3 linked regions of the Callithrix jacchus genome follow. The protein of the gene in region 3 interacts with the protein of the main gene of each other region in a biochemical or structural test. Links are inferred from orthologs where the notes say so. Each region holds a gene or a part of one and is shown on either strand. Other genes may lie near its edges. The genes, in order: MBD1, SP1 and ATF7IP.

Region 1 (4,280 bases), on a different chromosome or scaffold from region 3:
GAGGTATGCGGGTGCCCCCTTGTACGTGATGTCTTTGAGCTCACAGGTGACTTCTGCCGCCTGCCCAAGCGCCAATGCAATCGCCATTACTGCTGGGAGAAGCTGCGACGTGCGGAAGTGGACTTGGAGCGTGTGCGTGTGGTAGGTTTCCATGTGGTTTCAGTGCTGCACATGGTAGGTGTCCATCCCGGACGTGGCCGAGGGCAATCGGGGCTTCAAGAGTGCCTGCTCAGGACTCCTGCTGCTCCCTTGGCAGTGGTACAAGCTGGATGAGCTATTTGAGCAGGAGCGCAATGTGCGCACAGCCATGACAAACCGCGCGGGATTGCTGGCCCTGATGTTGCACCAGACGATCCAGCACGACCCCCTCACTACCGACTTGCGCTCCAGTGCCGACCGCTGAGCCTCCTGGCCTGGACCCCTCACATCCTGCATTCCAGATGGGGGAGCCGCCCAGTGCCCGTGTGTCCGTTCCTCCATTCATCAGTTTCTCTGGTTCAACCTGTGCCCATCCACCGGTTGACCGCCCGTCTGCCTTTGTCAAAGGGTTTTTCCCTGTCTCCATGTTCAGTGCCTGGTGGGGCTGCAGAGTCCACTCATCCTTCCCCTCCCTGGGTTTTGTTAATAAAATTTTGAAGAAACTAAGGAAGCTGCCTCCACATTGCTGCGGTTGCAACTATTCCCAACTCCTAGGTAAGATGGGGGCTCCTGCACCCCGGAAGAGCCCAGGGACCCACATTCCCAGCCTCCCACGGGCATAGGTCTACGTAGCGCGCATTCAGTGTGGTGACACTGCCCGCTCGTGCTCCTCTCTCCCACGCAGAGCTGTCGTCCGCCGTGGACGCCAGGCCCCGTTTAAGCCCCACCTTGACGATCCGCAGGGGCGCGCCCTCCAGCGTGCCTCAGTTTACCTGCGGTGCAGCTGCACCGCCCCCTTCCCCGGCCCGCTTGCCCCGCGGCGGTTCAGCGGGGAGGAGGGAGCAGGACACGACAGCCCTGGGGTTGATGTTCGGAGAGACCTGGAGGCACAGGCTCGACACCAGCGAGAGGTGGGAGAGTAGAGTGCCGGCTGGGCCAAGGAGTGCGCAGGCCTGAACCATCTTTCTCGCCGCCGTCCGCATCCGCTTTGGAGACCGCGGGAGGAAACGGAGGGCGCAAGCGCAAGCCCTCCCCAACCACTTCCCCTCAGCTTAGACTGGAGAGCGCATGCGCACGCCAGAGAGGCAGCGAGGGGCTCCGCGGCTGCTGATCCCTCGATGGGGCGCGAGCGGCTATTAAACGTCATCACGTAGATGCAACTCGTTCCTGGCAGGGGCGCGCGCACAGTTGCGTGCTAGCCCGCAGGCGCAGGAGCCTCCCTATTAAGGGCACGCGCCGTCGAAGCATTAGCGCGCAGGTGCGTCTCTAGAGGAGGAGCCCGAGAGAGGCAGGCCGCGGACTTCCGGTTCCGGGAGCAACGAACAGCCGCGGAGGCAACAGCTACCGCTTCAGAGGAGGCGGCCGCCGAGGAGGAAGAAGGGGAGGAGGGCGAGGCGGAAGGTGCAGGAGGGACCCTCGCCTTGGGTCCACGGGCCTAGAGCTGCGGAAGATACCGGTCTGGTGCCAGACTGGTGAGACAGCCTTGGGGCTGGACGTGGAGAGCGCTCAGGCGGAGGATGGGAAGGAATTGAGGCTCAGAACGCTGACGGGGTGGAATGGAGGGCCCTCAGGCCGGTGAGGGAGAGGAATGGCGGCGTCGGAATACTGACGAGGAGAAATGGGGGGATTTAGGCTGAGGACGGGAAGGAATGGAGCTCAGAACTCTGACAGGTAGGAGTGTCGAGATCCTGGGGTGAGGACAGGGTGGAATGGTGGAGTTCAGAATGCTGAAGGGAGACATCAGGGCATCTGAAGTTGAGAGAGAGAGAGAGATAGGGGTTCAGAACTCTGAGGGAGAAATGAGGGGCCCTCAGGCTGATGACAGGAGAAATGGAGACGTTGGAATGCTGAAAGGGAGGGATGGGGGCCCCATATAGAGGATGAGGAGCAGTAGGAGATCAGAACACTGACAGTTAGGGATGGCATGATCCTGGGACAAGAACAGAGAATGGGGGAGGGTTCGGAATGCTGAGGGGAGAAATTAGGGTCTCTCAAGATGATGATGAGAGGAACGGAGGATGAGAACAGTGAAGGGGAAAAGAGGGGAACTTTTTGGCTGTAGAGGAGAGAAACAGGAAGGTTTGAGGGCTGACACTGGGGAGAAATTGTGGGTCAGAACATCGAAGGAAAAGAAAAATAAGTGGGGAGCTCTTGGGCTGAGGAAGGGGAGGCATAGGAGGCTTCCAGTGTGAGGAATGGAAAAGATGAGGGGCTGTTCAGGCCATGGGTTGAAGCAGTTGTGTCTCTCGCAGAGGAAGTCGAGGTTGTAACACTGAGATAGCAGGATAAGAAGACATCAGACAAGGAAGGAATGGAATGGTTAAAACACTGAAGGAGGGAAATTAGGAACTCCTGGGTCAAGGAAGGGGGAATGAAGAAGTCAAGTAGTGAGAGCAAGAGAAATGGGGCCTTTTGGGGCTTGAGGATGGGGAGTATGGGGGTCTTGGGGTGATAAAATAGAGGGATAGAGGACCTTAGGTCAATGACAGGGAGGAATGAGGGAAAAGGATGAAAAGTTTGTGGACTGGCAGTGAGGAGAAATGATGGGATGTCAGTCCAAGGATAGAGAGGAGTAGGGAATAGGACACTGAGAATAAGAAATGGGGACCCTTGGGTTGAGGAATGAGGATCTTTTAGGCCCAGAATAGGAAAGAATGGGATGGCAGATCCTAGGTCTTGGGCAAGCACTAATGGATACCAGTGATTTGTGTGGCCTGAGGCACAGTTTTGTCCCTTACTAGAGCCTCAGTTTCCCTCATCCTCTCCACCCCCTTTCAGGCTACTGCAGCTTCCTGTGGCCTCCATGGCTGAGGACTGGCTGGATTGCCCAGCCCTGGGCCCTGGCTGGAAGCGCCGTGAAGTCTTTCGCAAGTCAGGGGCTACCTGCGGACGCTCAGACACCTATTACCAGAGGTACTGGGTGGGTTGTGGACAGAGTTGGGGTAGGGTAAAACCTGATTAGGGTAAAATCAAATAGGGTGGTTTAATTTATGGATGGAGTTTAAATTATGCATATACAGTTCATTGCTATTATTAGCAAATTTTATGTTTGCAATTTTATCTACTTAAAATTTATTTGTAATTTAAAAGTCACAACTCACAGTGCATTTGTGATTATTCAAGGACATGCACAGAGCAGTGAAAAGCTGTCACTCAGTGCCTGTGTTTCTAGCTGAGGCTGAAGGAGCTCTTTTTGTTTCAGTTTTTAAAATTACTTTTGAGACAGAGTTTTGCTCTTGTTGCACAGGCTGGAGTGCAATGGCACTATCTCAGCTCACTGCAACCTCTGCCTCCTGGGTTCTACGGATGCTCCTGCCTCAGCCTCCTGAGTAGCTAGGATTACAGGCACGCGCCACCATGCCAGGCTAATTTTTTGTATTTTTAGTAGAGATGGGGTTTCTCCATGTTGGTCAGGCTGGTCTTGAACTCCTGACCTCTGGTGATCTGCCTGCCTCTGCCTCTCAAAGTGCTGGGATTACAGGCATGAGCCACCATGCCTGGACATGTTTTAGCTTTAATACTGTAAGCAAGTAACTGTTCTTTTCATGGTGTGTTTAGTGTCACATTTTTCCAATTTTTGTACTTTTTGTTGGTGATTTTGTTTTTTAAAATGGTCCCAAGCATAGTGCTGAGGTGCTGTTTAGTGTCCTGAGTGTGAGAAGGCTGTGTTGTTTCTTACGGAGAAAATAGAAGGTAGATAAACCTTTTTCATACATGAGTTACAATGCTGTCGGCTGCAAGTTCAATGTTACGCATCAAAAATATGGTACAACCAGAAAAAGAAGGAAATTTGCCAATATGCATATGAGGCTGCTTCAGAAAGTACAGAAAGCATTCATAGTCTTGAAGCTGTGGAAAAGATGAGAAAGCAGCTACATTGGTGGATTCATGAAATGATGATCAGTAATTCGTAGTGGATAGCATTGTTGAGGAAAGCCAAACTAACATTACTCTGGGTTAGGAAAATATTAAGGTTATATCAGGTAGTGCTGGCTGACTTGCACATTTCAAAAGGTGACATGGCATGAAAAATGTTAAACTTGGATCCAGTACAGGTTCTCCCAATTAGGAGTCTTCTGCGGAATTTTAAAAATACTGTTAAGTGTTATACAGGAAAAGGGTTATGTAGAATAGTGGTTTTC
Region 2 (3,648 bases), about 57 Mb from region 3:
AGGTTTTTCCATTCTGCTGCTGGAACTAAGGTCTTGAAAAAATTGACAGAAGTGCCTTATCCAGGCACTAACAAAAATAAAACATGAAGTGATCAGATATGAGAATGTGAGATGGCAACAGATGAGTCAGGAAAGGAGTGCAAGAAGCTGATCCCAAATAAAGACAAAATTATGAAAGGAAAAACATTATGTATGTATATATAAACTAAAAGCAGAGCATATGAATGCTTAATTTGGTGAGAAGCCAAGGCAACATCTACAGAAAAGCTGATGTGTCACAACAAGGCTCAGCCATAGGGAAATAAGGCAATATAAAAAAAATGACCAAGGTATTTTGGTCACAGAATGGTCTTCTTCCTCCTCCCAGCCAACCCCTGTGAATGCATCTCTATATATCTTTATATATATATTTATATATATATAATAATATAGAATCTGTTTTTTGTTAAAAAGTATTTCAATGATCATATATATTTATCAAGGCATGATGGCTTTAGGAAATGGGGCAGGGGGGTGATCCATCATGGAAGAGCTGAGAAGAGAAATGCAGGAAGGGTAGGCTGGAGTAAGAAGTTTAAGAAGAAACTGGGGTAAAACAAATGCTCATCAAAGGGTGGCACCAACAGAATTTTCACTAATGTTTCCCACCTTCAAAGAGGCACTGATGATATAGATGGGTGCCAGGACCCCATCTCTTCTCTTGTATCCCTCTCCCAATTCTTCCCACCACCATGCATTTTAATGCTTCATGGCTCTCTCTTCCCACATGTCTCTTGGACCCATGCTACCTTGCATCCCAGGGTTGATGGGTATGGCCCATATGTCTCTGGCCCCAGGTGCCTGATCTCAGAAGCCATTGCCACTGATATTAATGGACTGCAGATCCGCCACCTGCATGACGTTGATGCCACTGTTGGCAAGACGGGCAATGCCCTCTGGACAGATGGCCTCCATGGCTACCATATTGGTGGTAATAAGGGCTGAAGGAGTGGCAGAGCCGCTGCCTTCTGAACCTGCCCCACTGTCCAGGGGCAAAGTGCCCACACTCAGGGCTACACCTGGGCCTCCCTTCTTATTCTGGTGGGTCTTGATATGTTTTGACAGATGGTCACTCCTCATGAAGCGCTTAGGACACTCAGGGCAGGCAAATTTCTTCTCACCTAGGTAAAGGAAGAAAAGAAGCTGACATGTTAGGAAGTGAGATTACCTTACCTAATTCACTGCTTTCAAACTCTACTAGGCTGAATAAGGCCAGTATGACAAGATTATTAAAAACAAGAAAAATCTTGAAGTATCTTTTCCTTTTGGTTGGGGGGACAGGGAAGAAAAGTAGATAAAGGTTAGGGAGTACTCAGTAAGGACGGTGGAACTTAGCAGAAAAGTAAGGCAAGGCAGAGACTAAGAGTAATGGTTTCAATACTTCGCCTTCAAAATCCCACTCAAAACCTAGCTCCTTCCTTTTTTTTCCTTGAGACAGAGTCTTGCTCTGTCACCCAGGTGGGAGTGCAGTGGGGCAATCTCAGCTCACTGCAACTAAGCCTTCTGATTCCCCTGCCTCAGCTTCCCAAGTAGCTGGGATTACAGATGCCCGCCACCAAGCCTGGCTATTTTGTATTTTTAGTAGAGATAGGGTGTCCCCATGTTGGCCAGGCTGGTATCAAACTCCTGACCTTAAGAGATCCACCCGCCTGGGCCTCCCAAAGTCTTGGGATTACAGGCGTGAGCCACTGCACCTGGCCCTCCTTCCTTCTTAAAAGTTTTCCAGATTAACTCCAATTCCATTTGTGACCCATATAATTCAGTTTCAAATTAAGTTGCTAAGAAATTTTAGTTATTTTGTAAGTGTATTTTGTGTTTTTCATTCTGATCTATTACTATTTTTCTCTCCCACAGGCTCTTGCTCACCTGTGTGTGTACGTTTGTGCCTCTGTAGCTCATCCGAACGGGTAAAGCGTTTCCCACAGTATGACCAGGTACACATAAATGGTCTCTCGCCAGTATGCCAGCGCAAGTGTGCCCGCAGGTGTGAGGTCTTGCCATATACTTTCCCACAGCCTTGGATGTGGCAAATATGCTGTTTCTTTTTGCCAGGATCCCCTGAACCCCTAAAAGTAAGAATACAACTATTCATCATTCATTCTAAAGACAGAAACTAAAGAACCACAAAGTATCAACAGCAATTACCCAACCTACACCAAACTTACTCAAACTTTTTTTTTTTTGAGACAGAGTCTCACTTTGTCACCCAGGCTAGAGTGCAATGGTGCCCTCTTGGCTCACTGCAAACTCCCCCTCCCGGGTTCAAGCAATTCTCCTGCCTCAGCCTCCCAAGTAGCTGGGATTACAGGCGTGCCACCAAACTCAGCCAATTTTTGTATTTTTAAGTAGAGACTGGGTTTCACCATGTTGGTCAGGCTGGTCTCGAACCCCTGACCTTGTGATCCGCCCGCCTCAGCCTCCCAAAGTGCTGGGATTACAGGTGTGACCAAACTTTTATTTTTGAAAAAGGCTTCCTTTTTTTTGCTTTTGAGACTGAGTCTCTCTCTGTCACCCAAGCTGAAGTGCAGTGGCACAATCTCAGCTTACTGCAACATTGCCTCCTGGGTTCAAGTGATTCTCCTGCCTCAGCCTCCCAAGTAGCTAGGACTATAGGCGTGGGCCACCACGCCGGCTAATTTTTTTATTTTTAGTAGAGATGGGGTTTCACCATGTTAGCCAGGATGGTCTCGATCTCCTGATCTTGTGAGCTGCCCACCTGGGCCTCCCAAACAGCTGGGATTACAGGCGTGAGCCACTGCGCTTAGCTAAGGCCTCATTTTTTGTTGTTGTTCATTCTATTTTGTTTTTTTTGAGACGAAGTCTCACTCTGTCGTCCAGGCTGGAGTGCAGTAGCATGATCACAGCTCACTGCAACCTCTCCCTCTCCTACCCAGGTTCAAGAGATTATCTGGCCTCAGCATCCCAAGTAGCTGGGACTACAAGTGCACGCCACCAGGCCCAACTAATTTTTGTATCTCTAGTAGAAACGAAGTTAGCCATGTTGGCCAGGCTGATCGCAAACCCCTGACCTCAGGTGATGAATCCGTCCATCTCTGCCTCCCAAAGTGCTGAGATTACAAGTGTGAGCCACTGTGCCAGGCCAGAGGCTTTTTTTTTTTTTTTGAGATGAACTTTCACTTTTGTTGCCCAGGCTGGAATGCAATGGCACGATCTCAGCTCATCAAAACCTCCGCCTCCCAGGTTCAAGCAATTCTCCTGCCTCAGCCTCCTAAGTAGCTGGGATTACAGGCGCATGACACCACACCCAGCTACTTTTGTATTTTTAGTAGAGACAGGGTTTCTCCATGTTGGTCAGGCTGGTCTTGAACTCCCGACCTCAGGTGATCTGCCCGCCTTGGCCTCCCAAAGTGCTGGGATTACACCATGCCCAGCCAATGTTTCTTTTTAAAAAGGCTTCTAGGCTGAACAAGGTGGCTCACACCTGTAATCCTAACACTTTGTGGGGCCGAGGCAGGAGGATTGCTTAAGCCCAGAAATTTGAGACCAGCCTGGGCAACACAGGGAGACCCCATCGCTATAAAAAAATTTAAGTTAGGCCAGCTGAGGATGGCTCAAGTCTGCAATCTCAGCACTGAGGTGGGCAGATCA
Region 3 (3,648 bases):
AAAAAAAAAGTTCATCGTTACAAGGCTATTAACATGCTTGCATTTCTAGTATTTGCATTTCTAACCCCACATGGTGACTTACCAATTCTTGGGTTAGTAGTGCTGTTCTGTTCTGCAGGAGATGAAGTACTGAAAGCAGAAACTGGAATTTTCATCTGTATAGGACCTCGATTAGTTGATGGACTATAGAGTCCTGATGGGCCCACTGTGGGTAAAGATGTCCTTGTGGCTTGTACAATAGAGTGTGCCGTTGGAACAGCCTGCACAGCAAGTGTTGTTCCCAATGGTGCAGCACTGGCAGTAGGGTTCCTTTGAATACTAGGACTGGGCACAGAAGGAACGTTGTTTGGTTTAGTGGGATTTGGCAAGGATGGCAAGGATACTGGATTTTTGGTAAGACCACTCACTGTAGGTGGGCTTTGCACAGAAATGAATTCTACGTTGCCAGATGGTTGATTAGTCACCAAAGTCCCTGGATGGCTCTGTAGAAGCTGAGGCTGGGAGGATACTGCAAGAGGTACATGCAAAATCACTGGCAAAGGTTGTAAAGAGATTGTAGGTTGGGGATTTCCACTAGGCACCTGAGTAGTAGCAACTACAGTAGCCGTATTGGGTGCAGGAAGAACTGATGGTGCTGTCAGGGAACCCGAAGTAACTGGAGTCTGCAACTTAGGCTGACTACTGACAACTGCTGGAGGGGTGACAAGACTGGCTGAAGATACTACAGAAAGAAAACAGAAGTCTCAGTTTAAATGGTTATGGCAATTTACCAGCCAAGAAAATATGACAGATACAAATTAAATCCATTGCATTAGGTACTGTAAAGTCTTTCATCATGAAAGTTTGTTTTTTCCAGATTTAAATTCTGAAATTTAACTTAGAATTAAATTCTTGGAAGGATTTTGCATGTAGGTTTAGTATATCACAAAAACAGCACAAGATGGACGATTAATCCGCAGACTGCTGAGTATCAAAACAGTCCCTGAAAATAACTATGATCACTTCACAGTACCTAACTAGTAAACAAATAAAAACACTAAAAAGTAGGTAAAACGGTATATTTTTGAAACTACATTAAAAACATTATAAATGCCTTATAACACAAGTAATATATAAACTCATATAATAAATCTGAAGTCATAACCATTAATTAATAATAGGTAAACTTATTCATCATATTTTATCATTTGAACCATGTCTGTATCTTTGGATCAAGTCTGACTGAATTCCCAGGGAGAGGAATTATCTTCCCCTACTGAGGGGCAGTTCCCTCTACTGACACCCTACTGACATTGTATGGTATGAAAAATAGCACTGAGTGAAGATGACAGATGAATTAAGAAATGTGAAAGCTTATACAGAAGAACAGAGAAAATACAAATGCTGGTCACTACAGTTTTATAGTAATTTTCAACTACTTGTGCTTATTCTCATTGAAATAGGTTTAAAAGACATGATCAAACTTCTTTCTCATTGATTTATAGTCTTTCCAATCAGGTACACTAGAGCAGCAGTTCTCAAAGTGTAGTCCAGGGGGATGCCTGGGGTTTTCTGAGACCCTTTCAGGGAGTCTGCAATGTCAAAACTATTTTCATAATGAGATATTATTTGCCTTTTTCAATGAGCAGACATTTGCACCAATGGAGCAAAAGCAATGGTGAGTAACACTTTGGATGCTTTAGTACAAAAATCAAGGTCGTTTAATGGGACCAAACTCACTGCATTCTTTATCAACACACGCTTACAGTAAAAAACAAAGTCAGTTTTACTTAAGAATCCCCATGATCAACAGTAAAAACTATTAACTTTATTATATCTCAACCTTTGAATAGGGGTTCTTTTCTTAATATTCCATGTGAAGACATAGGACTCTGCATGCCAAAGTAAAATGGCTAACTCAAGGAAAAATGCTTGTGCATTTGAGCTATAAACTAAACCAGCAGTCTTTTCCATCAAAGACTATTTTTACTTGAAAGAATGATCTATACGCACACTGATGATTCACATGTGGGTATTTTTAAGATCTTCTCTAAAAAATAGACTAGGTAAGGCAGTCACTTCAAGGAAAAAAACCCAACTGTATTTATCAGCAATAATAACATTTGAATTTTAAAATAAAACTAAGAAGATTTGAAAAACCTTATATCCGTCACTGAAAGCATGAAGCTCTCTAAATCCTTAAAATACTTCTCTGAGTAGAACTGATAGTAAAATCAGTAAATGTAATTTTTAAAAATAATATTTTTAAATAAAATGTGTCAACATTTGGAAGATTTGCATTAACTTCGTGAACAGTTTTCAAATGACCAATGAATGATATTAGTAAAATTCCATCCAAGTGCAAGATAGAGGAACAGATTTAAAACAAGATTTGCCTCTATCGCCCAGGATAGAGCACAGTGGTACAATCTCGGCTCACAGCAGCCTCAACCTCCAGGGCTCAGGTCATCCCTCAACCTCAGCCTCCCAAGTAGCTAGGACCACAGGTGTGTACCACCATATCTGGCTATTTTTGTATTTTTTTAGAGATAGAGTTTCACCATGTTGCCCCAGCTGACCTTGATCTGAGTTCAAGCAATCCACCTGCCTCGGGCCTCCCACAGTGCTGGGATTACAGGCATGAGCCACCAAACTTGTTCAATAAACGGATTTTAATGGAAGAGTAAGGAAATTTATTTGGTGTGATTTCAGATCACACTTCACAATTAACCTTAAAGAAACTACTACTTGATAATATCAAAGAAGAATAACCACAATTATCTGTAAGGGCTAGTCCTTTTCCATCTACATATTTGTATAAGACTAGATTTCCTTCAAATGCTTCAGCCAAATCAACATTTTAAAACAGACCAAAAGCAGATATAAATATGAATATACAGCTATCTTTAGCTATCTTGATGTCTTAAAGTATAAAACAGATTTATAAAAAATGTAAGAGGATAATGCTCTTTGTGCTGCTATTTTTAAGCTTGGAAAATACATTTAGTTTCATTTTTAAAAGTCTTTTTGTGTTAGACATTATGGGTTTACTACTACTTTATTTATTTTTATTATTGTTATTGCTATTTTTTAGAGGAGGTCTTGCTCTGTCCCCCAAGCTGGAGTGCAGTGGCATGATCTCGGCTCGCTTCAACCTCCACCTCCCAGGTTCCAGTGATTCTCCTGTCTCAGCCTCCTGAGTAGCTGGGATTACAGGCACCAGCCACCATGCCTGGCTAATTTTTGTATTTTGGTAGAGATGCGGTTTCACTGTGTTGGCCAGGATGATCTCCAACTCCTGACCTCAAGTGATCCACCCACTTCATCTCCCAAAGTGCTGGGATTACAGGCACAAGCCACCACACCTGGCCTACTATTATTTTAAATGAATAAACATTTTAAAAATATGTTTTAATTTCTGTTAAATTTCTACTTCATTTCAACTAACAAACATCAATTGATGTAACCCACATAAGTAAAAGCTCTGGGGTTCTTAATTTTTTCAGATTGTAAAGGGGTCAAGAGACCAGAAATTTTGCATACTACTGCCAAAGAGGCTTGAGTATCTATCCTGTATTTCATGTGTACTTATCTAGGGTCCTAACTTTTTTTGTTTTAAGAGTCTGAGTAGATTTCACTACATTGCCCAAGTTGACTCAAACTCCTGGG

The links.
Region 1: the proteins of ATF7IP (region 3) and MBD1 form a complex in vitro, tested with the Homo sapiens proteins (2 studies listed by BioGRID). The link is inferred for Callithrix jacchus from reciprocal best matches to the Homo sapiens genes ATF7IP and MBD1.
Region 2: the proteins of ATF7IP (region 3) and SP1 form a complex in vitro, tested with the Homo sapiens proteins (3 studies listed by BioGRID). The link is inferred for Callithrix jacchus from reciprocal best matches to the Homo sapiens genes ATF7IP and SP1.

The regions. Positions count from the first base shown.
Region 1 is NC_133514.1:93,464,063-93,468,342, reverse strand, and holds the start of MBD1 (methyl-CpG-binding domain protein 1), read left to right. Parts: upstream 1-1,449; 5' UTR 1,450-1,756; coding exon 1,757-1,809; intron 1,810-2,916; coding exon 2,917-3,051; intron 3,052-4,280. Other genes in the region: CXXC1 (CXXC-type zinc finger protein 1), read left to right, coding at 1-141, 257-403. UniProt on the Homo sapiens protein: Transcriptional repressor that binds CpG islands in promoters where the DNA is methylated at position 5 of cytosine within CpG dinucleotides. Binding is abolished by the presence of 7-mG that is produced by DNA damage by methylmethanesulfonate (MMS).
Region 2 is NC_133510.1:66,143,996-66,147,643, forward strand, and holds part of SP1 (transcription factor Sp1), read right to left. Parts: intron 2,106-3,648; coding exon 1,906-2,105; intron 1,161-1,905; coding exon 847-1,160; 3' UTR 1-846. UniProt on the Homo sapiens protein: Transcription factor that can activate or repress transcription in response to physiological and pathological stimuli.
Region 3 is NC_133510.1:8,832,104-8,835,751, forward strand, and holds part of ATF7IP (activating transcription factor 7-interacting protein 1), read right to left. Parts: intron 722-3,648; coding exon 83-721; intron 1-82. UniProt on the Homo sapiens protein: Recruiter that couples transcriptional factors to general transcription apparatus and thereby modulates transcription regulation and chromatin formation. Can both act as an activator or a repressor depending on the context.